Linked DNA regions of Oryctolagus cuniculus. The protein of the gene in region 3 binds, or shares a complex with, the protein of the main gene of each other region. Links are inferred from orthologs where the notes say so. Each region holds a gene or a part of one and is shown on either strand. Other genes may lie near its edges. The genes, in order: HJURP, NTMT1, CENPA and CENPC.

The links.
Region 1: the proteins of CENPA (region 3) and HJURP are in contact, whole or in part, in a crystal structure (PDB 3R45), measured with the Homo sapiens proteins. The link is inferred for Oryctolagus cuniculus from reciprocal best matches to the Homo sapiens genes CENPA and HJURP. Residues at the interface, in NP_001800.1 of Homo sapiens: Lys64, Leu65, Ser68, Arg69, Arg72, Asp83, Phe84, Asn85, Trp86, Gln87, Ala88, Gln89, Leu91, Leu92, Ala93, Glu96, Ala97, Ala100, Phe101, His104, Glu107, Asp108, Leu111, Leu112, Leu114, His115, Ile132, Glu136; in NP_060880.3 of Homo sapiens: Glu14, Asp15, Leu18, Lys21, Leu22, Ser25, Arg26, Arg28, Phe29, Arg32, Met33, Leu36, Lys39, Tyr40, Pro43, Phe44, Thr47, Pro48, Val49, Val50, Gln51, Met52, Ala53, Thr54, Leu55, Ile65, Trp66, Gly67.
Region 2: the proteins of CENPA (region 3) and NTMT1 are in contact, whole or in part, in a crystal structure (PDB 5CVD), measured with the Homo sapiens proteins. The link is inferred for Oryctolagus cuniculus from reciprocal best matches to the Homo sapiens genes CENPA and NTMT1. Residues at the interface, in NP_001800.1 of Homo sapiens: Gly2, Pro3, Arg4, Arg5, Arg6, Ser7; in NP_001273725.1 of Homo sapiens: Tyr19, Trp20, Met30, Leu31, Gly32, Tyr34, Ile37, Trp136, Asn168, Ile175, Asp177, Asp180, Asp212, Glu213, Ile214, Tyr215.
Region 4: CENPA (region 3) and CENPC share a complex: the UniProt entries of both Homo sapiens proteins name them as parts of the CENPA-NAC complex. The link is inferred for Oryctolagus cuniculus from reciprocal best matches to the Homo sapiens genes CENPA and CENPC.

What each region holds. Positions count from the first base shown.
Region 1 is NC_091434.1:5,616,049-5,622,585, reverse strand, and holds part of HJURP (Holliday junction recognition protein), read right to left. Parts: intron 6,128-6,537; coding exon 6,063-6,127; intron 5,005-6,062; coding exon 4,912-5,004; intron 4,415-4,911; exon of another isoform or gene 3,821-4,414; coding exon 3,754-3,820; exon of another isoform or gene 2,121-3,753; coding exon 632-2,120; exon of another isoform or gene 1-631. UniProt on the Homo sapiens protein: Centromeric protein that plays a central role in the incorporation and maintenance of histone H3-like variant CENPA at centromeres.
Region 2 is NC_091432.1:232,537,909-232,545,020, reverse strand, and holds the start of NTMT1 (N-terminal Xaa-Pro-Lys N-methyltransferase 1), read right to left. Parts: upstream 4,301-7,112; 5' UTR 4,118-4,300; exon of another isoform or gene 4,114-4,117; intron 4,041-4,113; exon of another isoform or gene 3,880-4,040; intron 1,936-3,879; exon of another isoform or gene 1,897-1,935; 5' UTR 1,763-1,896; intron 1,103-1,762; 5' UTR 1,073-1,102; coding exon 911-1,072; intron 461-910; coding exon 208-460; intron 1-207. UniProt on the Homo sapiens protein: Distributive alpha-N-methyltransferase that methylates the N-terminus of target proteins containing the N-terminal motif [Ala/Gly/Pro/Ser]-Pro-Lys when the initiator Met is cleaved.
Region 3 is NC_091433.1:176,096,316-176,103,389, reverse strand, and holds the start of CENPA (histone H3-like centromeric protein A), read left to right. Parts: upstream 1-3,091; 5' UTR 3,092-3,275; coding exon 3,276-3,369; intron 3,370-7,074. UniProt on the Homo sapiens protein: Histone H3-like nucleosomal protein that is specifically found in centromeric nucleosomes. Replaces conventional H3 in the nucleosome core of centromeric chromatin that serves as an assembly site for the inner kinetochore.
Region 4 is NC_091439.1:97,737,202-97,744,293, forward strand, and holds the start of CENPC (centromere protein C), read left to right. Parts: upstream 1-3,297; 5' UTR 3,298-3,566; coding exon 3,567-3,584; intron 3,585-6,869; coding exon 6,870-6,916; intron 6,917-7,092. UniProt on the Homo sapiens protein: Component of the CENPA-NAC (nucleosome-associated) complex, a complex that plays a central role in assembly of kinetochore proteins, mitotic progression and chromosome segregation.

The DNA.
Region 1 (6,537 bases), on a different chromosome or scaffold from region 3:
TCTTCGGTGAAATCCTGCCTTTTACGAGGACCAAGGTTATCCTCAGAGGGCAGCTGGCAGCAGCGTGCAGGCGTAGCACTGCGCTCAAGGCCGTTCCCTGAAGAAGGGGCTGGGGGCTGTCTGAGGCTTCCCCCTCCCAGAACCCCTGCAACGCTGGCCGCCAGTCACTCGGCTGGTGTGTTGGTCTTGTAAAGCCCAAGGGGCACAGGAGGGGGCTGAGGGGGCGGGGCAAATGGCCCGGGACCACCAGCGAGCCCAGCTCCAGGGGGAGCACTGGCGGAGACCAGGAGCCTGCTGCGCCGCACCCAGGGCTGGGCCGCCCTCCTGGGCTCCCTCTCGGAAGGGTTCTGGCCGACAGCAGACGACGCAGCCTGTTCAATCTGCTGCTGGCGCGCCCACACGTGATGTTATACACACGTGACATCACAGAACACGCGTTTGATGCGTCTTTCTCACACACACACACGTGTGCACGCTCACACACATTCCTAATGGAAACGCTGGTTTAGAGGAAGGAAAAGAGGGGAGAGAATGCTTAGAAACAAATACCCAAGAATGTTCTGGAATTTGTCCAAAGGCACACGCAGGTCACTACCGCAGGAAGCCGCCAGCCCCAGCTACACAAACTCACCTTCTCTTCCCCGCTGGGTGGTCCGGGCCTGGGGAGTCCCAGGAGTCGGCCTGGGGTGCGCGCAGCTGGGGGTCTGGCAGCCTGCGGCGCTTCGCAGGGGACCAATGGTCGCCCCTGGTGGCTCCAGCAGACGCCCCGTCCTCCACTGCGCTCGAGCCCAGTGCGCCTCTTCTGTGCCACTGGGCTGACAGCGACAACTTCTGGGACCGGGAGTCCGGGTTCGGTTTTCCCAGGACATCGTCTGTCCGGTGCCGGGCCTGCGCACTTGCCGTGTCTGGAGACGCTGCGCCCGGCCGCGGTGCCGTGCTGCAGTACTCCCGATGCAGCTTGTCAAACTCTTCTTTAATCTCATCGTAACGATTCCTCCCGCAGCCCAGAGGTTCTGTCCTGGGTCCTGGAACAGCTCCGCCGGGTGACGCCGCCTTCCTAAGCGGGCCAGGGCTGCTTCCCGGGACAAGGCTCCTCGCCTGCTGCGGGCGGCCTGGGCTCGGCACGGGGCTGGGCCCTGCAGGCAAGGGAGAGGGACCGTCCTCTGGCCGGCCTTGGCCTGAGTCCACGGATCTGCCCAGGCGCTCGAAGGCCTCCCTCAACGTCTTGCCCTTCGCTCTCACAGACAGACCCGGCCTGTGGGTTTCGAAGCTCCAGGAACCCCCTGGGCTCACCGGCCCGCCGCTGTACAGGCCCACGGCCCAGGAGTCCGCGAGGCCCGTGTGGCGAGGCTGTCTGCCGGGGCTCAGGGCGTACTCCCGATGCAGTCTCTCAAATCGGACCCGGATCTCCCTGTAGCGCTCCCCGCGGGGGCCCTGTGGCGTTGCCGGTCCAGAGATGAGCTTCACAGGGGAAAGCAGCCACTGCAGCATCCCGAGCCTGCGCTCCCGGCCCAGGGCGCGCACCGCTCCGACGTCCGAGCCTGCCGGAGCCGAGTTCCTCCGTGGCGTCAGCTGCAGCTCCTTCCAGCCCGGATCGGACGTCTGCACCTGGGATTTGTTGCCTTCAAGACAAGCCCTTTCCAATTTAAAACCCGCCTTACGGCGAGAAACATCGAGTAGGTTCTCGCAGTCTCTCAGTGGTCCCGCACCCGGCTCCGGCTCCGGCCCCGGCAGGGGTGGGTGCAAGGAGCTCCCCCGGGAACGCCTGCCCGCCTCGCAGTACGTCCTGTTCAGCCTGCTCCTCCACCTGTGCCGCCGCCTGCAGCTCCAGGCTTGAAGCACAGACGCTCTGGTGGAGATGACGCACGCCGGCTTTGCACTCAGCAGCCGGCTCATGGAGCGCAGCATCCCCGCGTACAGCTCGCTGATGGTCACGTCGCACAGCTCCTCAGCCGCCCAGGACCGGCCGCTCCCGTCCGTCCCCAGGGAGCAGAGGCTGTCGTCTTGGTGTTCCGTGCCCGTGTCTGTGGAGCCAGGATGCAGGGGGCACTGCTCCTGGGGCGGCGAGGCCGGCTTAGCCGGGCCCCCGGGGCTGCTTCCAGAGACCCCACCACGGCACCCTGGGAGAAACACACAGTCACACGTCCCTGTGCAGACATCATGGAACTCGAGGCCGGACCGCGACCTTCTCAAAGCAACGATGACAATAATGACAATGACAATGATAATAAGAAGCCCCAGGTTCCGAGGGAGAGGTTCCTTTCCAGGCATCAAAACTAGACTCTTGCTTTCCCACCCCGGGACTGACCTGGAACCTGCTGTCTTCGAGAGCTCACTGGAAGGCAGGAGGTGCCCACACACTTCCCGCCAGGTTGGGCGGGAGTGAGCTAAGCATCCCGAATGCACTGCTTCGCGCAGCTGTGACTTCTGCAGGATGCAAAATGCTTTATGTATTGGGAAAAAAGTGTCACGCTCACTAAGCAGAAGGGGAGGAGGGCGAGAGGTGCCGCCCCTGCGGGGCTCCTGGGCTCTGGACAACCAGCCAGGTGAGCACGCTTTACTGCGGTGATGACCCAGAGGGATGGACATCGAGTCGGGGAGGGCCGGCGCTGTGGCGCAGCAGGTTAGCCCTCCACCTGCAGTGCTGGCATCCCATGTGGGCACCGGTTCAAGTCCTGGCTGCTCCACTTCTGATCCAGCTCTCTGCTATGGCCTGGGAAAGCAGTAGAAGATGGCCCAATCCTTGGGCTCCTGTACCCACATGGGAGACCTGGAAGAAGCTCCTGGTTTTGGCCTGGCCTAGCCCCAGCTGTTACAGCCATCGGGGAGTGAACTAGACGATGGAAGATGTCTCTCTCTCTCTGCCTTTCAAGCAAGTAAATAAATCCTTACACAAAAACAAGAACTGATGGGCACAGCTAAAGGACACGGAGGCCAGCCTGAGGGGCTCCCCAGGCCCAATCCAGGACCGCCGGAGCACTGGCCCGGACGCCAGCAACAAAACACGACATGAATTTAAAAACGGCCCGCGAGTCCTGATTCTGAGACAGTAAACACCTGAACCCTGAGCGTGCAGAGGAGACACAGTGAGGGGACAGCCCCCCTACGCAGAGCAAAGCTGACCACGGAGCCACCAGCCTTGGCCACCATCGCCACTGCACGCCAAAACCACTGGGTGGAAAAGGCCGCCACAGACGGCACCCAGGGCTCTTGAGCAGGCCCCACCTCAACTAAACCACCGGACCCAAAGGCCAGCAACGATGGGACAGGCTGGCCGGAACCTGCAGGGCTCACAGCACCACCCAGCGAGCGCGTGTGCCAGCAGTGCTCCCACGAGCACAACCCCAGGAAACAACCAGGCACCTCCACGCCCAGGGCCGCCCTGCAGAATGACAGGCCTGGACCGCTCCAGAGAGCCAATGCCGGGGGGTGCTGCGGGCGGGGGGGGGACAGCTGAACAGTGAGGGACCCACAACTCGACCCGCACACACACAGCCACACACACACACACGGCTACGACAGACGGGGCAGGTCCTGTCAGTGTCAGTGTTTCATGTCTACCATATGCTCAGCTTCTTACACTCCCCTGGGGGGTGCCCTGTTCTTAGGGGACAGTGTGCACATGGATGTGCGTCCACGTGCGCGTGTGCACAGGACGCAGCTGGTTTGACAGGAGGGTCCCTGTGGCGTGCAGGGCAGCCACGCCCACCGCACTGCTCCTGTGCCCGAGTGAAGGGGATGGGCCACACTCACCAGGGGCAGGCGTAGCCGGCCGGGCCAGGGTCTTGTACGTGTCCTTCCCGTCTCTGAGAGCTGCTCTCTGAAACGAAAGCCAACAATCGCGAGAGCTGTCAGGTGCCGAGGCCCTGGGCGCGTGGAGCCAGTGCAATGCCTCCCCCGAGGGCGGGGTAAGGAGCTGCTCCCCTTTCAACACACGGCGGGCAGCAGCGGGGCGGTGTGGACAAGCACGTGGCCGTGACACTCCCAGCAACATCTAGCAGTCCACATGGCTCCAGGGACTCCCTCCCCCCACGGGAGGGCTGGTGGCCTCTCTTCACCATCCACTGTGACAGCAAGCACCTCACGGCAGCTGGTGACGGGCGATGACCCCCGGGAGCTGCCCCGCCCTCCAGTCCCCTGGCCAGGTCACACAGCAACCGAGAGGACGCCACTCGCTGCGGGCGGTGGAGACAGGCCCCTCCAGGACCCGTGGTGCTGCCGCGGCCGCAGGCACGGCAGGACCTGTGCTGGGAGAGGGGTGCTCTTCATCGTGCCGGGCCCTGCCTGCCTGCTGGGAGCCAGGGCGTCCTCCTTGGTGTGAGTGACGTTGACAGAAGGCAGGAAGCTGAAGAGGTGACCCCTGTGTCCCTGCACTGCCAGGCTCCGTTCCGCGGGCAGAGCTCCGGGAGCAGCTGCAGGGTAACGGGCGCTCAGGCATCCAGGGGCCTCCTCCCTTCCCACCAGAACACGGACCCAGGGCAGCTGGGACGAGCCGGAGCCCCTCACACCAGGGAAGGGGGGCTCTGGTCCCTGACTGTGCAGCTCAAAGCCGCTCTGCCCAAGAGCTCGAGCCCCACGCACGGCCCCAGATTTCTGCAGTGGGCAGCGGAGGGCACACCCCCAGGGCTCCGGCCTCCAGCAGCTGCCCCGGTGGTGCTGCCCCAGGGCAGGGGAGGTCTCAGAGCCTGGAGCCGCCCTGGCTCGGAGCAGTAACACGGGCACAGCGCGTGCAGGGCGCCCTCCGCTTACGGGAGCCGTCCTGGCTCTGAGCAGTAACACGGGCACAGCGCGTGCAGGGCGCCCTCCGCTACGGGAGCCGTCCTGGCTCTGAGCAGTAACACGGGCACAGCGCGTGCAGGGCGCCCTCCGCTTACGAGCTCAGGGCACCCAGTGCACCAGGCAACACATTACCTCAAAAAACTCCGCGTCTTGCAGCAGTATATCCACTTGGGTCAAATACTTCCTTCTCAACTCAACTTCCAAAGGGCCCTGGGGCGCTGCGGGCTGACGGGGGAGAGGCGGTGTTGAGAAGGCTGACCCGGTGAGCTCTGGACTGACTGGCAGGCTCAGAACGCACAGCTCCCTCCACCGGGCTGTCCCGAGTAACCTCTCCTCCCACCGTGCCAGAGGTCCAGCCCCTCTGTGCTCCCCCGGCCCAGCAACCTGGCCCTAGGTCGGTCACCCAAGTACAGTTTAATAAATAAGTCTGGCGAGGTTTATGACAGCGTTCCTGGAACAGGAAAACACCCGGAACAACCTCCCAGGAGTTCAGGGCCCAGCGCCAGGAGTGAGCCCTGGCCTGTAAGGAGACCATGACCAGCCCAGGAGGCCAGGTGGCTGGCTCCACAGCCCTGCTCCACTCCTGCACCTGCTCGGGGGAGGCAGGGGTGTGGGACCAGGAGGTACCAGCCACTTGCTGGGGCAGGGCCAGCACCCCACTCCTCTGGCTGAGGACACCCTGCCTGTCCCCCAGCCCTGCAAGATATTTACAAAGTGCCCCCCCCCCCCCACGCTGAATCACTGCCTCTTCTCCTAAAAGTGCCACGTGGGTGCCTGGCCACAAACCTGCACCCAAAAGCAATCCCGTGGTAAAACCAGACGCCAGCTCTCACGGTGTCTGACGGCAGGCGACCGGGGCTGGGAGACGCCTGTGTGCACCCCACCCCCATTCCCGACCCGCAGGAAGGCGAGATGGCAGGTGGCCTCTGTGACCCGCGGGGCACAGGGGAGACCACCGTACAAACACCACTGTTGACGTGGTGCCAGCTCGCAGGTCACATGAGCTCGCGAGGGCCAATCTGGAAGCGCTGGCTAGAACACCCCCTGGTGGGTGACAGGCTCTGGGCAAGAACTCGGAACCCTGCATTCAAGCCTGGGGGCTCAGTCCAGGCAGGGGGGACCACGCTGCCAGGTGAGTCGCCCCACATCACTTAGAGCCACGGAAACCAGGCGTCACGGCCAGCCTGAGAGGGAGGCACGTGCTACCTCAGGGGGCCTCAAGGGGGAGCCAGAGAACGCGAGGCCTCAGGCCGCCTGCCGTCCCTGGCGCACACAGTTCTCACCACCACAGCCCGGGCAGCCGCAGCCTCCCGCTCCGGAGACGCATCCACATCGCTGCCTTTGGAGCCTGAAAGAAAGAAGGAAGGAAGGAAGGAAGTCGACGTCAGAGCTGCGGGGAGCCTGCGTGTTCCCCTCCAGGACGGTGCCTGTGCCGCCTGGAGGATGGAGCAGGTGCTACTGTGAAAACCTCACGGCCTCGGGAGCGGCCCTGAGGACGGGGCCCCGCGTGGCCGCCCACGGAGGGGGCGACCCTGAGGACAGGGCCCCGCGTGGCCGCCCACGGAGGGGGCGACCCTGAGGACAGGGCCCCGCGTGGCCGCCCATGGAGGGGGCGACCCTGAGGACAGGGCCCCGCGTGGCCGCTCACGGAGGGGGCGACCCTGAGGACGGGGCCCCACGTGGCCGCTCACGGAGGGGGCGACACTGAGGACGGGGCCCCGCGTGGCCGCTCACGGAGGGGGTGACCCTGAGGACGGG
Region 2 (7,112 bases), on a different chromosome or scaffold from region 3:
CCGGTGTGGCCATGTGGGCAGGGAGCCAGCAGACAGCTCTCCTTGCTTCTCTGTCCCTCTGCCTTTCAAATAAATCTTGAATTGTGTTCAACAAGAACTACCCGCAGTGGGCAGCGACAGGCATTCCGCAGGGCCCGGGCAGGGCCACAGGAGCAGGACCCAGCTCCCAAGGCCCGCGGGGAGCCTGAGCGGTGGGCGGGGCCTCACCTATCACCCACTGGATCCAGATGACGTCGTAGGAGCCGGGCGCGGGGCTGAAGTCCTGCAGGCCGCAGCAGAAGTAGTTGCGCACCCTCTTGCCCTCCTCGCCCAGGTAGGTCTTGGCTTCAGCCAGGAAGCCCTCCGTCACGTCCACCATGTCCACCACTCGGAAGAGCGGCAGGAGCAGCCGCTTGGTGATCCTCCCGATGCCAGCGCCGCAGTCCAGCGCGTAGGACGTCCCCGTCTTGTTCGGGCCGTCCTGCAGAGCACAGCGGGCAGCCTCCTAGCAAGGGGCCTCCCTCGTGGGCTCGGCAGGGGCCACGAATCGCCTGCGGGGAGGGCGGGGGCTCCCTCCCACACCAGTGGGACAACTCGGTGCACTGGTCTCCTGGCTCCTGGGACCCCAGCGAGGGGACAGAGGCTGGGAAGGGGGAGAGGGGAGGGGAGGGAGGGAAGGGGGAGAGGGGAGGGGAGGGAGGGAAGGGGGAGAGGGGAGGGGAGGGGAGGGAGGGCAGGGCAAGCAGCAGCCTCCGGTGCTCCCCGAAGACCACAGAGGGAGGAGGGGCGGGCAGCACTGTGCAGCAGAGGACGGCCACCGCTCCACCCGGGAACCTGACGGCCAGCACCACAGGCGGCGCTGGCCACGGCCCTGTGGCGGGAGGCGCCCAGAGGTGCCGGCGGCCCGCACGGAGCCAGCACAGCTGCCTACCCTGAGGAACCGCTGCAGGAACTTGCGGGAGCTGGTGATGTCGATGCTGGAGATGTGGCCGTACCCCCCGAGCATGCCGTCCACCGTGGGCGGGACCTGCCTCCAGTACGTCTCGGCCCTGGAGTAGAACTGCTTCTCATCTTCGATCACTTCGCTCGTCATGCTGGCGCCAGCCCCGCCTCAGCGCCCCTCCTGAGGGGGGGGAGGGGTGAGCCGCCCCGCCAGGCGCCCCACACCGGCAGCGCGGGCTCCCTCCCGCAAATCAGAGCGAGGCCCAGTGTCCGGCCTCTGCCGCCATCCTCGGCGTGACCCCGACTCCGTGGCTTCTGGCCCCGGAGAGCAGAGAACCCGGGATTAAGGGAGAGGAGGACGCGGCAGGACGCTTCGGCCCGGCTGTGGACACTCCTGCTGACCCGGGAAGCCCTTGGCCCTCCCACCCCAGTCATGAGCGGGAGACGGCCAGGCAGAAAAGCAGCCACACCTGGGACCCACACAAGTGAGGTGCGGGAAGGGCGCCCCCTAGCGGTGGCTGGCCAGGCAGAGGGGCTGCAGCTCCCAGAGGACAGGGCGGGCGGAGCACGCAGCCCAGTGCCAGCTGGAGCCCGGCTGCCTGGCTCCGGACCCAGCTTCCTAATGCACCCAGGAGACGGTGCGTGGGCCCTGGACCCACGTGGGAGACAGGGTGGAGCTGCTGGCTCAGACCTGGTTGCTAGCGTCATTTGGGGAGTGAACTAGCAGATAGAAGCTTTCTCTCTCTCTAACTCTGGCTTTCAAAAAAGAAAGAAAAAAAAATAGACCCCCCCCCTCCCCCCAGAGGACCACTGTGGGTCTAGTTTAGAATTTAGACTTTACCTTTAACGAGCAATGAACTTGGGGCTGGTGCTGTGGCGTTGCGGGTAAAGTCGCCACCTGCGGCACTAGCATCCCATATAGGCACTGGTTCGAGTCCCGGCTGCTCCTCTTCTGATCCAGCTCTCTGCTATGGCCTGGGAAAGCAGTGGAAGATGGCCCAACTCCTTGGGCCCCTGCACCCGCGTGGGGGACCCAGAAGAAGCTCCTGGTTCCCGGCTTCAGATCAGCCCAGCCTTGGCCGTTGTGGCCATTTGGGGAGTGAACCAGCGGATGGAAGACCTCTCTCTCTGTCTCTCCCTCTCTCTCTCTATAACTCTACCTCTCCAAAAAATAATCTTTAAACAAACAAAAAAAAGCAGTGAACTTGAGACAGATCTGTGCTTCTGCAGCCTGCAGGGGTGGACGCTGATGCGTGAGGGAGACCAGCCACGTGGCCAGGCAGGGGGCCCCACCAGCCCCTCCCACCGGCCAGTGGGAAGACGGCGTCTTTCCCAGGACACTGGCAAGGTCAGGGCACCATTCTGGGTGCGGTGGTGGGCTCACGGGCCCCCTCTGCTTGCAGTCCGCACTGAGGAAGAAAATCGGAACCAACTGGAACCCACGGCAGGAAGACGAGGGTTCCCGGGGTCGGAGAGCCCAAGGACGGAGGGGCCCTTTCTGAACGGTGGGCGGGGGTGGGGGCACGGCAGCGGCAGAGGAGTGTGGCTGAGCCTACGGAGGACAAGACGGGCCAGAGGCTGGGCCCCCGCGCCCGGGTGCACAGCTGGCGGCACACGGAGACGGAGCGCCTCAGCGCCTCCCCAGGCGCCGGCACCTGAGGCGGCAGAGGCGCCGGCGGCCACGACACCCGTCACAGGGACAGGGCAGGCAGCGTGCGAGTGCTGCTGACACTGATGGCCCCCCCCCCCCCCCCCCCGTGCAGCCAGCGCGCCCTGAGGCAGGGGGCGCGCCCACCCAGGTCCAGGGGCCTTGTACCCAGAGGGCAGCACCTGCAGCCAGTCCGCCACTCGCCGAGCGGCCGTTAAACGCGGGAGACCGTGAGCTCCGCGCAGCTCTGGCCGCTCCCCACATCTAAGAAAATCCCCAGCACCCAGGACGGGGACGCCGAAGGCCCTTCCCGACAGCGATTTTTTGCTTTACCAAAAGCCTCACACGACGGGATGCCTAGACGTACAGGAAATCCACTCACGCAGACGCTAGGAGTGCGCCAGGGCGGCCGCTCACACGCCTGCCCCGAGGGCTCGGGCGCAGGGTCTCTAACCCGCGCCCCAAGCCTGTGGGCTGGAGACGACCGCAGGCGGGGCCTGATCAGAGGCGGGCAGGGGCCCACCTGCCAGGGCCCCGCAGGGTGGGAGAGGCCAGGTCTGCCAGCCTCGCTCGGACCCCGGGCGTCACTCTCCCTCGGCTGCATGGCTCCGGGAAGGCTGAAGTGAGCACAGGGCCGGTGCTGTGGCCTAGCGGGCAAAGCCGCCGCCTGCAGCGCCGGCATCCTGTATGGGCGCCGGTTCTGGTCCCGGCTGCTCCACTTCCCATCCAGCTCTCTGCTGTGGCCTGGGAAAGCAGAAGATGGCCCGAGTCCTTGGGCCCCTGCACCCGCGTGGGAGACCCTGAAGAAGCTCCTGGCTCCTGGCTTCGGATCGGCCCAGCTCCCGCCATTGCGGCCATCTGGGGAGTGAACCCGCGGACGGAAGATCTCTCTCTCTCTGTCCCTGTCTCTACCTCTCTCTCTCTCTGTCCCTGTCTCTACCTCTCTCTCTGACTTTCAAATAAATAAATTTTTAAAAAGTGAGCACGAAGAAGCTGAAAGGCCGAGGCCAAATTCCCCGCAGCTGAGATTCCCCGCAAACCGCGAGCGCCGGGCACCGCTAAGACGGCGTGGCCGGGGCGGCCTGGGGCCCCTCGCAGGGCCGGAGCGCCAGGGCAGCCCCCGAAGGGAGCCACGGGCGCCCAGGTCCCTCCCGGGGCTCGGCCCGCCCCCTGGGTCATCATCCCACGCTCCCCACCCGCGGCCACTCCGCCACGCCCGGGCTGTGCGGACCGAGAGAAAGGGTCACACGGCCGCTGGGCAGCGCGGCCTGGGCTCCCGGACACGGCCGCCTCCCCGAAAGCACGCTGACCTTGGCCCCGGCCGGGCCGGGGTCAAACACGACAGCAGCCGCGCTGCCCACGCCCACGCCGGGGAGCGGCCCTCCGGAGCCCCACTGCCCGGAGGGGCTCCGCCGCGGCCCCGGCCCCCTCTGCCCCGGCCCTGCCCAGGTCAGCCCCGCCGCCTCCCGGGGACGCGCACGTGGGGCCCGCGCCGGGGTCACGTGACGAGCCGGGCCTCGCCGCCCCGCACCGCACCGCGCTACTCACCCCGGGCGGGGGCTCCCGGGGCGCAGGAGGAGAGGGCGGGGACGAGGACAGGAGGGCGGCGGCGGCGAAGACCCCCTCCCCGACCCCACGGACCCGCCGCAGCTCCGGCACTCCACGACCAGCCGCAACGGCGGGCGGCGCGCGCTGCCTTTGTCCGCCGACGTCACTTCCGGGCACGGGGCGGGGCCGCAGCTGGCTCCGCCCGCGGCCGGCTCGCCCCGCCCCGCGGGCTCCGGGTGCGCTGCGGGCCGTGGGGGGCTCGCGCGGCGTGGCCGTCTTTCCGCGCCCGTCTGGACTTGTGAGGACGAGAATTCTGTGGGCTCTCCTTTGAGGAGAAAGGGAGAGAAGCCATTGTCTTCGGTGCAGCCCATCCCCACTGGCACCTTAAAGTGATATGCGATGAGAGAGAGAGAGAGAGAGAGAGAGAGAAGGAAGGAATTCCCTTGGCGGAGCTAAGGGGTTTCCAGCCCAAATAAGCATTTCCAGGGCGTAAAGTTGGCGGTGCGAGGCTGGCCTTGGCGCACCCGCGTCCCCCATCGGAGCTCCTGGGTCTGAGCCCTTGTCCACTCCGGGCTCCCCCTCCGCGCTGATGTGCAGCCCTGGGAGGCAGCAGCTGGTGGCCCAAGTGGCTGGGCCCCTACCGCCCCCGTGGGAGACCCGGATGGGTGGCGTTCAGGGCTCCTGGCTTCAGCCTGGCCCGGCCCTGGCTGTGGGGGAGGCGTTTGGGAATGAGCCAGCGACAGGTCTGTGGGTCCGGGTCTGTCTCTGCCTTTGCAGCAGATAACTGGCATTTTTGTTTAAAGTCGCCCATTTCTGACATTCTGGACCGGTCCCGAGGCAGCGGGCTTGCAGGGCCCTGCTCTGCCGTGAGCGGTGCTGATGCCGTCAGGGTGCAGCCTTGACATCACGCCTGGCAAAGCCCAGAACTCGGGAAAGGAAAGCTGTGGTCACGCCACATCCACCTTAGGTGGACACACACCCTGGGGTCACGGCCGCACAGCCTCCTCTGGCGAAGCACACAGGAGGTGCCTGTAGTGGGAGCCAGGGCGCGGGGGAGCTGACCATCGGCTGACGAACACCCGCGGGGACCTCCCCTCGGGCTGTCCCAGGGCACACGCGGGTTCCAGGATCTGAGCCTCCCTCCCCAGCGTCCTCTTCCCCGTCTCTAGGAAAAGGGCGTAGACCCTGGGCAACTTCTTGGGCTGGCGCCTGCATCCTCCTGGGGAGGGTTCTGCTCCCAGCCCTCCTGCACCCAAAGGCCCAGCCGTGCCTGGTTACCTGGCGGGGGGCAGGACCCCCCACCACACGCGCGCGCACGCTCAGTGCAGGATGCCTCCAGGCCAGGCAGACCCCTGGCCGTGGAGCCTCTCCCAAGCCTCGCACATAGTAGGCACTCAGTAAATGCAGAACACGAGGGCTGTGGGGCTCCCTAGACAGCACCTGTGACAGCAGCATCCCACTGAGCGCCGGTTCCGGTCCCGGCTGCTCCACTTCTCATCCGTCCCTGCTAACGCATAGGGGAAAGCAGCAGGGGGGGCCCCACATGGCTCCTGGTTTTGGCCTGGCCCAGCCTTGGCCATTGTAGCCATTTGGGAAGTGAACCAGCCAATGAAATCTCTCTCTCTCTCTCTCTCACTCTAGCTCTGCCTATCAAATAAAATAAATAAATCTTTAAAAAAAAGGAGAGAGACCATCTGATTTGTCTGATTTTCCTCACCCATCTAGAAACCTCACCCTTTAAATGCAAAGTTCTGAGTCCCGAGGAACGCACTGGCGGCCAGCTGGGAAGCAGTTCTAGAACACGGAGCCCAGCTCCTGCGAGGGCCTCATCCCGAAACTTGAACTACGAAGTCATTTTTTTCATTTTCAGATTATGAACTTTTTAAAAATGTTTATTTATTTATTATTTGAGAGGCAGAGTTATAGACAGAGAGGGAGAGACACTCCCCCACAGCCAGGAGCTGGGCCAATCCAAAGCCAGGAGCTTCTTCCAGGTCTCCCAGCCCTTGGTGCAGGGCCCAAGCACTTGGGCCATCTTCCACTGCTTTCCCAGGCCACAGCAGAGAGCTGGATCGGAAGTGGAGCAGCCGGGACTAGAACCAGCGCCCATGTGGGAGGCTAGCGCGCAGGTGGTGGTTTTACCCGCTACGTCACAGTGCTGGCCCCAGATTATGAACTTGGACAATGCCAGTGACATACTTGTCCACCCCACCCTTGCCTCTCTACCCGCTGAGTTCCCCCACGGAGCCCTGGGGCGGGAGAAACCTGTGCATCATGACACAGCCGAGAAGCAGAGCAGGGACTTGGGGTTGGTTCTTGGCCTCCAGGAAGAAGGAGAAGTCCTACTTGCATAGCTACCCAGACAGGACCCACCAGAGCTCCCAGATCTCAGGGGCCCCCTGTGACCAAGCCCCGCCCTCCACCCCAGGCTTGGGGGCTCTGTTCCTCAGATGGCTGTGGGTGGGGCGCGGATCACAATGACCCTGCAGAGGTGCAGGGGGCACTGGCGAGGGGCTGGCAGAGAGACCTGGCAGGGGAGATGGGCTCTCCTGGGGCTGGCCCACCTGTTAGGGGGCTCTAAACTCACAAGACCTGCCCTGACCCCAACCAGAAGCCCCGGCAAGGTGAGAGTGACCCCTTGCAGCTGACAACAATCTGGGCTTTTGGGGGTGGGGGCGGTGTGGTGGGGACAAAGCAGCCTCTGAGACCCCCGTGTCAGAGCTGGGGGAGGGGATAGGACTAGGGCAGACAGTTTCAGGATTCCTAGTTCCCAGGGGAGCGCTAGCAGCCGTAGCAAGCCCCCCCCCCCATCTTCCGCGTGCTGTGCGCGCTCCGATGGCACTGGACTCCCGCCAAGGGGCAGGCGCACGGACCGGGGGACCCGAACACCGGGCCCTGGCTGCGGGGCGGGAGCGCCCAGCGGAGCAAACGCGTAGCCCCGGGCCTTAAGGCTGAGGTTGAGACCAAACTCTACCCCGCGGGGTTTTGAAGTAAT
Region 3 (7,074 bases):
CAAGCACTTGGGCCTTCTTCCACTGCTTTCCCAGGTGCGTTAGCAGGGAGCTGTATCGGAAGTGGGGCAACTGGGTCTCGAACCAGCATCCACATGGGACGGCGGTGGTGAAGGCTGCAGCTGTACCCACTGCATCACAGCGCTGGCCCAAACACATAGTTTTTTAATAATTTGTCATAAGACAGAGCTGATGACCTAAGAAACAGAATGTGCCCATCCGGTGGATTCCTGTCCTCTTGTTCCCCGTAGGTACCTGGGGCTGCACCGTCTCCCACGTTCTACGTGCCCGCGCCCCGGGTGGCTCCCGAGATCTGACTCCCTCAGGGACTTCCTGGAAGCCAGAAGAGAGCTCTTTGCTCAGCTCGGGCTCAGCAGGAGGCTCTGTGCTTGCCTTTTATCTTTCCCTGAGAACGCAAGGAGCCGGGCACAGGCTCCAACGCCACGGCCCTCCCTTCCCCTTGGTGCACTTTCCCTGTGTGCCACCAACACAACCCTTTCTCTCTCTCTTTTTTAATTTATGCATTTGAGAGGCAAAGAGAGAGCAATGGACACGCACAGAAAGAGCTGCCATCTGCTGGTTTATTCTCCAAATGCCCACAAGGGCCAGGATTAGGCTGCGGGCCAAGTCGGGAGCCCGAAACAAACGCAACACAGGTCTCCTGTGTGAGTGACAAGAATCCAGTGACTTGAGCCTCCCAGTGTCTGATCTGGCCGGGAGCAATCGGGAGGTACAGCTGGGAGACGACCCGGCTACTCTGATGTGCGACACGGGCATCCTCCCTCGTATGGTAAACAAAACCCCCACCTCCCGAACCTTTGATTACCTAGGGTTTTAAAACCATCCCCTAACCTCAGGAAAGATTATTAACAGAACAATACCATGAGAGTCTACACAGTGTGGGGACTGAGTAGACGATAGCACCAGGTACCTGGGTTCAAATCCCAACTCAGCTCTGAGTCTGCTCCCTGCGTGGCCCCACCAAGGCCTTGGTTTCCTTATCTGCAACACTGGCATTAGAAAGTCTTAGCAGGACACGGGATTGGCTTAGTGGGTTAGGGGCCTGTTGGGACATCACGTCCCACAACAGAGGGCCTGGGTTCCACGGCTGCCACCGTTCCTGACCCCAGCTTCCTACTCAAGCCGACCCTGGGAGCAGCAGGAGATGGTGCCAAGTGGCTCAGTTCCTGTTACCCGTGTGGGAGGCCTCGGTTGAGTTCCTGGCTCCCAGCTTTGGCCTGGGCCCAGCCCCAGCTGTTGTGGGCATTTGAGAAATAACCCTACAGATGGAAGTCTCTCTCTCTAGCCTTCTCTCTCTGACTTTCAACTCAAATGAAAATAAATAAAATACGAAATCCCACCTGAGGTTGTTGAGAGGCTCAGGCGAGTGACTACGTGAAGTACTTGGAGGAGCGCCTGGCACTGTGTCCACACTCGGCAGAGGCTGCCGGTCGTGGGACTTGCACGTTGTGCCTTGCTTCCTCAGCCTTTACAAACTGCTGGGGACAGGAACCATGTCCCGAGTACCCATGATCCTTAGCACCTCACACCCCTTACACTTCACTCATAACAGATGCGGAACGCGTCTTAAATGGATCTGATCTGCAGATTTTCATAGATTGTCCTTTCAACGCGCTTACGCTATTCGTCCTTCTTTTAAATGCAGGAGCTGGAGTTTTGGTTTTACTCCAATCACAAAAGACAGAACAAGAAGAAAAAGGGTAGATGAAGACCGGCAGCTGGTCAAGCAAAAGTTCAGGTTAACAGGCCTGGCCCCAGGCAGAGGGGCAGGTGGAAGTGAGTCCCTACAGCAGACTAAGCCAGGCTGCTCTCTCCTCGCTGGGATCTGGGGCCCCGGCCTGCTGTGCCAGGTGTGCTGTCATCCATCCTGGTCTCCCGCGTGGATGCCAGGGGCTCGGGCACTTGGGCCTTCCTCTGCTACCTTCTCAGACGCATCAGCAGGGAGCTGGATTGGACGTGGAGCAACTGGGACTCAATCCGGCACTTCTATATGGCATGCCATCCTGGCAGGCAGCGCCTGGTGGCTTAACCCTCTGCGCGAAGGTGCAGGCCCCGGTTCATCCAAGTTTCTGCATGGGTCAGAATTTCCTTCCTTTGTCGGGCTGAGCATTGCACTGTACATACTACGCTTCGACCTTTGAGCTATTGTGAACAAAGCTTGGGTGTGCAAAGCCCTGTCCAAGCTCCCGCTCTCATTCCTTTTGGATGTACAGCCAGAAGCGGGGCAGCGGGGCTGCTGGCTCACGGGGAAACGGTTTCCTTGTTTTCAGGAACCACCACACTACTTTGCACAGCAGCTGCCTACGGTTTTGTATGGCCCCATCAGCAGCGCCTGAGGGTCCATGAAACCACTGATTTTATAACCAGCAATTTTCCTGATTACAGTGCATGTTCACTGTAGCACATTTTAGGAAAATCCAAGACAGCAAAATGAGGAAATTAAAATTCCCTCTCCTAAGCACGGAGACACGACCGGAATTCGTGTTGTTCCCCACAGACAGGCGAGAGATCGCTTCCCTTGGGGCGAACCCGTCCCCACGGTCCTAGACTGGCAATGACGCCTGCCTGGCCGGACCCCGGCTCAGAGCGCCCGGGCCTGGCCGCCCCCACGACCCTCACCCTCTGTCACGGACACGCGGTGGCGCTGGCCTCGAAGCCCTGCCCCCCAGGGAGGGACACAAGCGCGACAGGAGGCTGTCACGTTCGCTACGGGTCTGTTGGCTCATCTTTAAAGCCCTCTTAGGGCTGAGAAAAGCCTGGGCGAAAGCTGGAGGGACAGACTCTACAAACGCACCATCCACCGCTTCCTTTTCAGATCAAAGAGCCCTTGAAGCCATCCCTCAAGGACAGGCACTCCCACCAAGCAAAGACCTGGAGAAACCCCGCCTCCCTTTACTTTCCCAACCTCCCATTGGTCGATTCTGTCGTCAATCCGTCATGTTTCCCCGCTCTCTGCCTATCAGCGCCGCTCTCCGTGTCTCAGCTCGTGTTCTCATTGGTTCTTCCCGCGGTCGTTCTACCCGGACGTTCCAGAGACAGCCACTGGGAGTCGCTGGATTGGGGTTTTAAAAAACGCCGGCGATGGAGTGGGCGGAGCGGGCGATTTGAACCGGAGGTGCCGCAGCCTACGCCGGAGTACCGACTCCTAGAGCCACACGGGCGGCTCGGGCGGTTGTCCGGTTCCCTGCGGGCGCCAGCCTTCCCCCCCGGGGCCGGGAGGTCCGAGCAGAAGCCTCGGGGCCGGAGGCGGCCCGCCATGGGCCCGCGCCGCCGGAGCCGCAAGCCGGAGGTCCCGAGGAGGCGCAGCCCGAGCCCGACCCGCAGCCCCCGCCGGCGGAGCGTCTCCTTAGGTAACCGGCCGCGGCCCTTCCCTGGGGGACGCGGCGGGGGTGCCGTCCACGCGAGGTCTCGGCGCCACTCCGGGCCCGCTCTACGGCTCACGGGACGCAGGCGCAGACGGGCCGGGTGCCCTGGGCACGGCCACGCGCGCGCGCTCGTGCACGCTCTGGACCCGAGTTTGTCCACTTTGAGCGAGGCTACGTCAGGCCTTGAACCGCGCCCGCCCCGACCCCGTCCGGACGGCGTGACCCCCAGTTGCTGGAGTGTGCGCTGGGGCGGGGTGGGGGGCTCGGGACCCTGCAGCGGGCCGTGGCGCGGGTCTGTCCTACACGTGCTGGCGACAGCAGCTTTCCCTCTTCTCCAACTTGCTGCATAGCCAGGAGCAGGGTGGGACACGTGTGTAGAGGTTACTGCCTTTTAGGACGTGGTGCTGTGAGAGTGGGACATTCTTCCCTGAGACCGGAGTGCTTAGTCCTGAGTGCTCCTTAATCCTGACAGTCCCGCAGTCGGAACCTTAGGTAGACTACTATGTCCTGCACGTGGTCAAGTCCGTGTCCGCCTTTTTCAAATTCTCACCTTTTATTACTTAGTGTATGGCATTAGTGAGGCCCTGAGACTAACTGTAAGAGCAAGGGTTTTGCCCGTTTTTGTCTTGTTGGGAATTGTATTTATTTATTTAAGAATGTATCTATTTGCAAGGCAGAGTGACAGAGGAGGAGAAGCAGAGAAAGAGGTATATTGATTCCACTCACTGGTTCACTCCCCAAGTGGCTGCAACAGACAGGGCTGGGCCAGGGTGAACTGGCCTGGAACTCCATCCGGGTCGTCCTCCTGGGCTGCAGCCACCTAAGCACTTGGGCCATCATCGTCTGCCTTCCAGGAGCCTTGGCAGGGAGCTGGATCGGAAGTGGAGCAGCTGGGGCTGGAACAGTGCCCTGATGGGATGCTGACGGCCCTTGTTTGTAATTTTAATGGGAATATCAGGTGTGATGTTTGCTTTTGCTGTCCAATGTAAAAAATGCCTCTTCTACTCCTGGTTAAATGGAAACTTTTAGCTCAAGTGGGCACCCAACAACACTGCCCTTGTCTGATAGCCTTGCTTTTTCGTTCTCCACGTTGGCAGTTCCATTTCTTCCTCTCCAGCTTCCTGCAGCACCACCCTTCCACTGTTCGCTGACAGTGGCCCCGCTGGAGTGTCCTGCTTTTCTGTCAAAAGCCACTCCTGGGGTCAGCGCTGTGGTGTAGCAGGCTAAGCCTCTGCCTGCAGTGTGGTATCCCGTATGGCCGTCAGTTCATGTTCCAGCTGCTCCACTTCCCATCCGGCTCTCTGCTGTGGCCTGGGAGAGCAGTGGAGGATGGCCCAAGTCCTTGGGCCCCTGCACCCGCGTGGGAGACCCTAAAGAAGCTCCCGGTTCCTGGCTTTGGATTGGCCCTGCTCTGGCCATTGCAGCCATTTGGGAGTGAACCAGCAGCTGGAAGACCTTTCTCTGTCTCTTACTCTCTCTGGCTCTCAAATTAGTAAAATCTTTGTATATGTATATTTAAAAAGCCACAGCTCCCATCCATATGCACCTGCAGAGGGTCTTTCTGTTGTCTTCTCCTGCGCTTAAAATTAAACCCAGACTCACATTGGCTTTGGCGGATCTGCTCTAGTGTTTGCAATCTGAAGGACAAGGGCAGGGGGGTGGGCATTTGGCGCGGTGGTTAGAGACGGAGCTTGCGTCCCACATCAGAGTGCCTGGGGCCCAGAGTCTCAGCTCTGCTTTTGATTCCACCTTCCTGTTAACATGCACCTTGGGAGGCAGCCCGTGACGGCGCAAGGACTTGGTCCCTGCCATCCATGAGGGAGACCTGGATGGAGGTCCAGGCTGCTGGCTTTGGTCTGGCCCAGCCCTGGGCTGCTGTGGACATTTGGGGAATGAACCAGCAAAGAAAGTTAAAGGACAGAGGGAGTCTGCCTCCCCTTCCTGTCGCTGCCTTGCAGATAAGTGAACCTTGAAGAGCAGGTGTTTCCCTGACGCCGCGTTTCCAGTCTTCCTGGCGCCGGGATCCCTCCACTTCCTGTAACGGCTGCCCTTGTAGAGAGGCTTGTTTAGTGTCCACCCACTGTGTCTGTTCCCCATCTCCCAGCCACCCTTGCACCCATTCCGCTCTGACCCCAGAGCCGCTCCCCTCCGGTCGCTGTCCCCAGCTGCACTGACGACGCTGCCAGGGCTAATCCACACCTCTGTGCCTTCCTCACCCAGCCCCTCAGAGCCCTGCGACACCCTGCTCCTGGCTGCCCGGCCGGCCCTGCGCACGCTCTGGCGGTTCCCAGTGTCCTCCACGCTGGTGCCGCCCTCTGCGGCTCCTTGACCGTGGCCAGCAGGGCTGCCTTCCCTTTCTGCCTCCTCCCCGGGCGCCCGTGGCTGCTGTCAGACTTCTCCCGCACCCTGTGCTGCTGCCTTCCTACCTGAGTGCCCTGGGCGAGTCACACACATCCCAGCCCCGACGCCTGCAGCCCCTTGTCCAGTTGCCCCGTTTTGGTAAATGGCACCGCCACCCACCCAGGGTTCAAGCCAGAAGCAGGGAGACGTTCTTTTCTGTCACCCCCATATCCAATCCAAAGGCAAGTTCAAGCAGTTCTGCCTGCGCACTGCGTCTGTCATCACCCCACTTGTCTCCATCTCCGCCCCGAGCAGCCCAGGGCAAGCCGGCAGCCACCACGTGGGAGCCTGCTGACCACTGCTCTGCTCCATCCACCCCTCTGCAGCTCTCCGCACACGGCGCCAGAGGGTCTTATTTTTATTTTTTAAGATTTTATTTATTTATTTGAGGGGTAGAGCTACAGACAGAGAGAGGGAGAGACAGAGAAAGAGGTCTTCCTTCTGCTGATTCACTCCCCAAATGGCCGCAATGGCCGGAGCTGCGCCTATCTAAAGCCAGGAGCCCGGAGCTGCTTCCAGGTCTCCCACATGGGTGCAGGGGCCCAAGGACTTGGGCCATCTTCTACTGCTTTCCCAGGCCACAGAAGAGAGCTGGATTGGAAGAGGAGCAGCCGGGACTAGAACCGGCGCCCATATGGGATGCCAGCACTGCAGGCAGAGGATTAACCTACTGCACCTCAGTGCCAGCCCCTGAGAGGATCTTTAACCCGGAAGTAGATCAGCTTTTCCTCTCTCTTCCTGAACACTTTCCCTGGCTTCCGGTCACTTTAGGATTAAATCCCAGCTCCTTATGTTGGCGTTTCAAGACCCAGCTGCTGCATGTTCTGATTTGTGAAATTCATTTGAAAGACAGAGCTGTCATCCACTGGTTCACTCCCCAAATACCTGCAAGGGCGGGGGCTGGGCCAGGTCGAAGCCAGGAGCAGGAAACTTAATCCAGACCTCCCTCATGGGTGGCAGGGACCTACCCCTTGAGCCATCACCCACTGCCTTCCAGGGTGCCAGGCTCAGGTGCGGAGCTGGGACTTGAACCCCAGCACTGTGGTGTGGCAGTGCTCTCCACACACAGCTGACTGCATCTCTGATCCCGGCTCTTCCCCGTGAGCTTTCCCTGGTCGCTTCTCACGTATTCGCATCACGGATTTCCTGTCTCGCCCCTCTGAGGTCATCGCCTGTATTTAAGGGCTCTCCTTTCTCTGCTACCTCAGATTCCTCCGGAGTGGTTTTTCTGTTGAGTTGGGTTCCTTCCGCTCGCGGTGTCCTTTCTCAGATCGTGTGGTGACCTTTCGT
Region 4 (7,092 bases), on a different chromosome or scaffold from region 3:
GATTTGGTTTGCCTGATTGGTAGGGCTTGTAAGCACCTGTGGGCAACTCTAGAGCAGAGTGTGTGCCGCGGGGCACTGAAGACAGGCGTGTATCAACGCCAAAAATAAAAAGAAAGGGGGATCTGTGGGGAGCAACTGGGAGCAAATCAGACTAGACTAAGTTACTGGAATTAAGACTTATTCTATGCATCTGCTCTCCCACAATATGGCGCTGGGAGAGGAGGAAACAGCTTCTACACAGCTGCCTCCAGTTCAACCAATAAACTGTAGGACCTGCTCCTGATTGGAGGAGAGCAACGTACTCGGCATGTGGGTAGCAGAGTTGGGATTGGTGGAAGAGGATTATAAAGGAGGAGAGAGACAACATGCACCAGGAACATCTATCTGAAGGAACACCTGTGCAGCCCCCGAGAGAGCCGGTTGGTGGTGTGCTGCTCCCCCACGGAAGTGGGGAAAGTGGCAGGGGGAACCGCCCTTCCATGGAGGTGGAAGGGTCGGTAGCCAACCCGGGAAGAACCAGCAGCAAACCCGGGGAGGGCCGAGCAGACGAAAGAACTGCGCAGGGTCCTCTGTCGTTCCTCCACGAAGAGGGGGAGCGACACCCTGGGTCTAAGAGTTTTGACAAGTATTTTTCTAGCTATGCAACCGCCATAATAAGCATCCATAGAATATTTCCACCACTGCAAAACATTCCCTCATGTCCCTTTATAGTCTCTTCTCTTCAACCCCATCCTTTGGCATCCATTGATCTGATTTCTTTTTGTGCAGTCACTGATGTCTTCTTGCTTTGTTTAGGATAATGAGATTCATCTATAGTGTTGTTTTTTAAAGATTTATTTATTTAGTTGAAAGTCAGAGTTACACAGAGAGAGAAGGAGAGGTAGAGAGAGGTCTTCTACCCGTTGGTTCACTCCTCAATTGGGCGCAACAGCCGGAACTGTGCCAATCCAAAGCCAGGAGCTAGGAGCTTGTCCACGTCTCCCATGTGGGTACAGGGGCCAAGATCTTGGGCCATCTTCCACCACTTTCCTAGGCAGCAGAGAGCTGGATCAGAAGTGGAGCAGCCAGGACTTGAACCGGTGCCATATGGGATGCGCACACTGCAGGCTGCGACTTCACCCCGCTATGCCACAGTACTGGCCCCTTCATCCATAGTGTTTTTATTGCTAAGAGTACTACCCTGCACCAATGTACTAAAACTTGTTTATCCAACTCACCAGGACAGATGCTTGTATTATGTTGTGGTGTGGGATGGAATGTGGACTAATCTTTAAGTGGTTAAGTTCACTTTAAGTTCACTTGTGAATGTTTCTGTGCTGTGATTTCTATTTCTGTATGGAAGCTTGCAACTGAAGAGACTTGGTTAACCAAATACTTTGATGAAGGTCAAGGAGTTAACATAAAATATTGTTTGAACTAGTTTTAATATTTTCAAATTTTAAATGACCTAAAGTCCTAAGTAGCTACAATTTTTACTTCCCTTCCAAACTTAATTTCTGAATATTTTGTTTTCTCTGTATGTATCTAGTTACCTATACTATCACTGACTGATACATACACACACACACACACACACTCCTTACCTATGTCTGGTAGTTGTGCTAAATTATGTGCAATTCTATTTTTAGCATACTAAAACCATGATGGGGTTTTGGCCAACTGTACTAGAACAGATGGAGCTGAAAAATTTCTTTGGAAAATGTGGAGTTCCTCTGACTGTTTTCACAAGTACGCCACTCCATTTTCTCTCTCGAGTGCTTCATCTGCACCATCATTTGCGTCCTGCATTCTACAACAGCAAAACCGTTGCATTTCACCTTTCTCAAAACAATTGTGCAAGTTCCTGTTTCTGGTGGAAGTGGGATATAATTTTACATGTGGGACTAACATCTGTGATTGTGCTTGCTAAAATTTCTCACTGAGAGGCAAAGAGTGTAGCGATTAAGAGCCCAGTCCCGGGGGTGGGCATTTAGCCTTGTGGCTGGAAAGCCAGTTAAGAGTCCCAGGTCCAATACTGGAGAACCGGGATTCCATACCCAGACTCTGGGAGGCTGCGGTGACAGCTCAAGTGTTTCAGCCACTCCCAGTGGGAGACCTAGCCAGACTTCCCTGCTCTGGGTTTTGGCCCCAGCTCAGCCCCAGCCCAGCCTGGATCTCCCTGTGCACTCCTGTCCCCTTCAAATAAACAAAGAGTTTAAAAGAGTTCTAGAGTCAGAGTTTTCAAGTTAAAAGCCAGCTCTGCATAGTGGTGGCATCATCTTGGGCACCTCACCTAAGTCCCTTGTCTATAAAATCGAAACATGGCTCTCTCACAGGGGTGTTCTATATGCTTGAAATGCATGTGAAACATCTACAGAGCTCGACAGGTACTATATTTCCATGAATGTTAGCTTTACTATTCCAAATGTGACAACACTCAATTACACACATAATATATACCAATTGGTAAAATTGCCACATACAGTAAAAAAAACACCTCCATAATGATATAATAGCTTTATTACTGAAATTTATTTATTTACTTAGAAAACAGAAAACAGAGTGGTGGGGGTAGGGAGAGAGAGCGAGAGAGCGAGCGAGCAATATATCTCCCATCTGCTGGTTCACTCCCCAAACGACCACAACAGCCAGGGCTGTGCCAGGTTGAAGCCAGGAGCCAGGAATTCCAGCCAGGTCTCCCATTTGGGTGTGGGGCCCAAGCCCGCGGGCCACCCTCCCCCGCCCAGGTGCATTAGCAGGAAGCTGGATTGGGAACCCAGCAACCCCTCTTTTCCAGTATTCATAGGAATTGCCAGAATTTGATTCCAAAATCTCAATATTATTCCCATTTTACAGCCAGGAGAATTGAGGAACGGACAATTAGTAGAGTAGAAGCCAGACATTTGAACTTGGACTTCAGAGTTCATAACCCCTCTTTCTTCTCTAATACATATGTAAATAACTTCCAACAGGTGACAGCATTTGTTAAAGCAGTACAAGTTTTAAAAGACCATTAACTCCTGATTCATGAATTTATTCAGCAGGCCAACTCTTTGGAGTACCATTTTCTTGTAGTTATTAAATCATAACAATGGAACACAGTGTCCCAGACTTCACACACTAGTTAGGTAGGAGGAAGTCTTCAGAGCAGTTTAGACTCCTATTACATCGTTAAGAAAACGCCCGGAACAGCGCCACAACGCGGCGCTGGGTGGCACAGTCACGGAGGCCCCGCCGTCCCCCAAAAACAGCCCGCCCGCGCCACTCGTAGGCCTGAGAGCGAGGAACGCAGAGACGCGGCGGAGGGAAGGAGGGGCGGGCCCCTAACGGCTTTCTTACTATTGGGCGGCGCCGTACGCTTTGCGCATGTGCCGTCCGTTTCAAACCCCGGAGCGCGCGGGGGCTTCTGGAAGCGCGCCTTGATGGGCTTGCAGCAGCGAGCGCCCGCTGCCAGCTGTCTCTGGGGCTGTCGTGGGCGGTAGTGTCGCCGGCGGGCGGCCGGGTCGGTCCGCGCTCACACTGCCCGAGCCGCGGCCCGTGCGGGCGTCTGCCTCGGAGCCCGTGCGCGGGCGGAGCGGGGCCGGAACATGGCGGCGTCGGGGCTGGTGAGTGTGGGCCCTGCCCCTGCCCGCTGCGGGAAAGCGGCTGGGGCCCGGGGAGCCGTCGGACGGGCGCGGGGGGTGGTCGCAGGGCCGGGCCAGCGGCGCGGGCGTCTGCAGTCCGCTGCGATCGGCTGCCGATGGCCGGAGTTGACCGACTGCGTTGTTTGCTGAAGGTCTGGTGAGGGGAGCTGGGGCTGCGCCTGTGGTTCTCGTCAGGAAATCCAGTTTCCACTTTGCAGCTTCGCTCCGTTCCCTCCCCCGATTCCGTTCGTGCGCGGAGTGCAGGCCCTGAAGCAGCCTGAAGGTCCGCCTGCGTTGCAGACCGGCTGGTCTGGAGGATGAAGTTTGTCTCGAGATAATCAGACTTTCCCGTTTACTTAAGCAAAACGTTGCGCCTCGCGGGCGGTTTTGGAGGCCGATTTTCGTGGGACATGGGTTGTTGATGAAGTGTCCCCGAAGGCAGCTCTTAGGACCGGCGTGGGTGGAAGCACATCTTACTTCTGTGTGTCTGGACTCCTTGCTTTGTCTTTTCACAGGTTGCTTATGGTTCCTGTACATGTAAAACCCGTATCGTCTCTTCCTACACTGGTGTCTTCTAATCTATCCCCTCCTTTAGTGATGTCTCAGGGGGTAAACTTAAGTGTGCATGAAAGGGTAGGTTAGTGTGCAGGTTTCCAAGGAGCGCATGCGTTGTTTACGTTCTGCAGGGTCAGGGAAAAAGAAACAGTGACGCTGTTCTCCCGGGGGAGAGGAGGTCCTGTCCTAAGTGTAGCACTGTTCTAAGGTCTGACTTTGTGCCATACCCTGTTTAAGGACGAGGTGAGGGGAGTTGGCAGGGGGTCTGCAGCCCTTCCTGCACCGTAGTGGTTCCCAGAGGAGGGCAGCGCTGTCCGCTAGGCGGTATTTGTCGACGTCTAGAGGAAGTTTAGGGTGTCCCCAGGCGGGGAGGGGTAGGGCGATTGAGGGAGCGCTGCAGCGCCCAGAGTGGGTGGAGGCAGGGGTGCTGCTAAGCTTCTGTAGTGCGAGTTTAGGTCCCCGGGACGCAGAATCCTCCATCCCCAGAGGTCAGTGTGCTGGGGAGCGGGGACCGGGGGGATGGAGCTTGGGAAACCCCATTTGTTGTATCATATTTGCTTTGAGAAACATAATCTGGCCGGTGCCGTGGCTCAGTAGGCTAAGCCTCTGCCTTGCGGCGCCGGCACCGGGGCACCGGATTCTGTCCCGGTTGCTCCTCTTCCAGGCCAGCTCTCTGCTGTGGCCCGGGAGTGCAGTGGAGGATGGCCCAAGTCCTTGGGCCCTGCACCCCATGGGAGACCAGGAGAAGCACCTGGCTCCTGGCTTCGGATCGGTGCGGCGCCGGCCGTGGCGGCCATTGGAGGGTGAACCAACGGCAAAAGGAAGACCTTTCTCTCTGTCTCTCTCTCACTCTCCATTCTGCCTGTCAAAAAAAAAAAAAGTTATTAAAAAAAAGAATCATAATCTGACAGTGAAAAGAAATTCAAGTTTAAGTCCACTGAAAGATAAATTGAAATTGCTATTTGTGAGCTTGCTAAGTTTATTTTCAATGAAAATTTTACTGTTCCAACTTTTCTTTTTAAATGTATTTTATTTATTTGAAAGAGTTACAGAGAGAGAGAGAAAGAGAGGTCTTCCACCCACTAGTTCACTCCCCAAGTGGCTGCAACTGCTAGAGCTTTGAGCTGACAGATCTGGAACCAAGCAGGAGTTTCCTCTGGGTCTCCCACATGGGTGCAGGGGCCCAAGGACTTGACCGTCTTCCACTGCTTCCTCAGGCACATTAGCAGGGTGCTGGATCGGAAGTGGAGTAGCGGGGACATGGACCAGCGCCCATATGGGATGCTGGTGCTGCAAGCCGGGGCTTTAACCTGTTGCGGCACAGGCCGACCCCACCTTCTCTAGCTTTTAAAATTTATTTGTAAGGGCCGGCGGCGCCGTGGCTCACTAGGCTAATCCTCCGCCTGCGGCGCCGGCACACCGGGTTCTAGTCCCGGTCGGGACGCCGGATTCTGTCCCGGTTGCCCCTCTTCCAGGCCAGCTCTCTGCTGTGGCCAGGGAGTGCAGTGGAGGATGGCCCAAGTGCTTGGGCCCTGCACCCCATGGGAGACCAGGAGAAGCACCTGCCTCCTGCCATTGGATCAGCGCGGTGCGCTGGTCTCGGTGGCCACTGGAGGGTGAACCAATGGCAAAAAGGAAGACCTTTCTCTCTGTCTCTCTCACTGTCCACTCTGCCTGTCAACAACAACAACAACAAAAAAAGGAAAAAAAAAAAGCTAGATCTAAGAGCTTAGATGAATAAAACCCACTTTTTTAAAAAAAAATTTATTTGTAAGGCAGAGTGTCAGAGAGGGAGGGAGATTCTGGTCAGTAGCGCTAGAGTGCTTCTGGAGGCTCTGTTTTTGAGGCTAGGGGAAGAATGGCCTACTGTTCTGGGTAGAGATTTTTTTCCAGTTGTCTGTTACTCCTTTTTGTCACTCCTTGCATCCCTCAGATCTCAGGTTTCCCAGTACTACATGGTTATGGCTTTCTCCTGGGTAGATCAGCTTCCATCATCATTTAGTGCAATATTGCCTGAGCTTACTTTGGGCTGCTACTAATGTTATTCTGTTTTATCAGTTATCATGCTTTATCTCTTTTCAGTCTTCCAGAAGTTTGTTAAATTTCTCCCCATGTAGTCCTCTCTTTCCTTCTTTTTTCACTGTTGTTTGGTGCTGTTTTAGTTCTGCATTTTATATTTAGTGGGCACTTCCTTCAGGGAAGGGATATCAGGAGATATTAGTTAGCCAGCCTGGATTTTGGATGACCTGAAAGTTAGGTTTTTGATGGTGGAAAAAGTATGGGAGCAGGTGGAAGAAGAGGAGGAATAAAATGGAATGGACTTTGGGTGGAACTGGAAGTAGTACAAGGGTATTTCACAAAGTGTGTGGGATATACATATTATGAAAAACTGTATGAACTTAAAAGTATTTTGTACCAAAGTCAGTTAACTTATCTTTAATTTTATTTTCCATGAACTCTTTTGAAGTACCCTCATATACATGAAGTTTTTAAAAACAGTAGATAGAAAGTATGGTTCTCTTTTACTTACTTGATCCAAATGAATTTCCTTTTGTAGTGTTTATGCCAGGCAGTTAACAAATGCTTCGTGAATAAATGAAGAACTGAAATTTTCTGGCATACCCTTATTGGGGTGGAATTACTTTGAAGATAAGTGATACCTCATTATATTTTAAACAAAAAGATCAAATTGATGATGAACTTTTCTTTCAGGATCATCTCAAAAATGACTACAGACGAAGATTTTGCCGGCCTTCCAGGTGATTTATAGACTTAGCTTTTAAGATGATTTCTGTACCCATCATCAGAAAGTAGATTTTAAATAAAGAAAGGAAAATTATAAGTTATGACTAAAGTAGTAATATCCATGTCCACTTATTAAGTATAGACATCTTAGTTGCTTTATTCTAATAAAAATAACAACACAAGGAATATA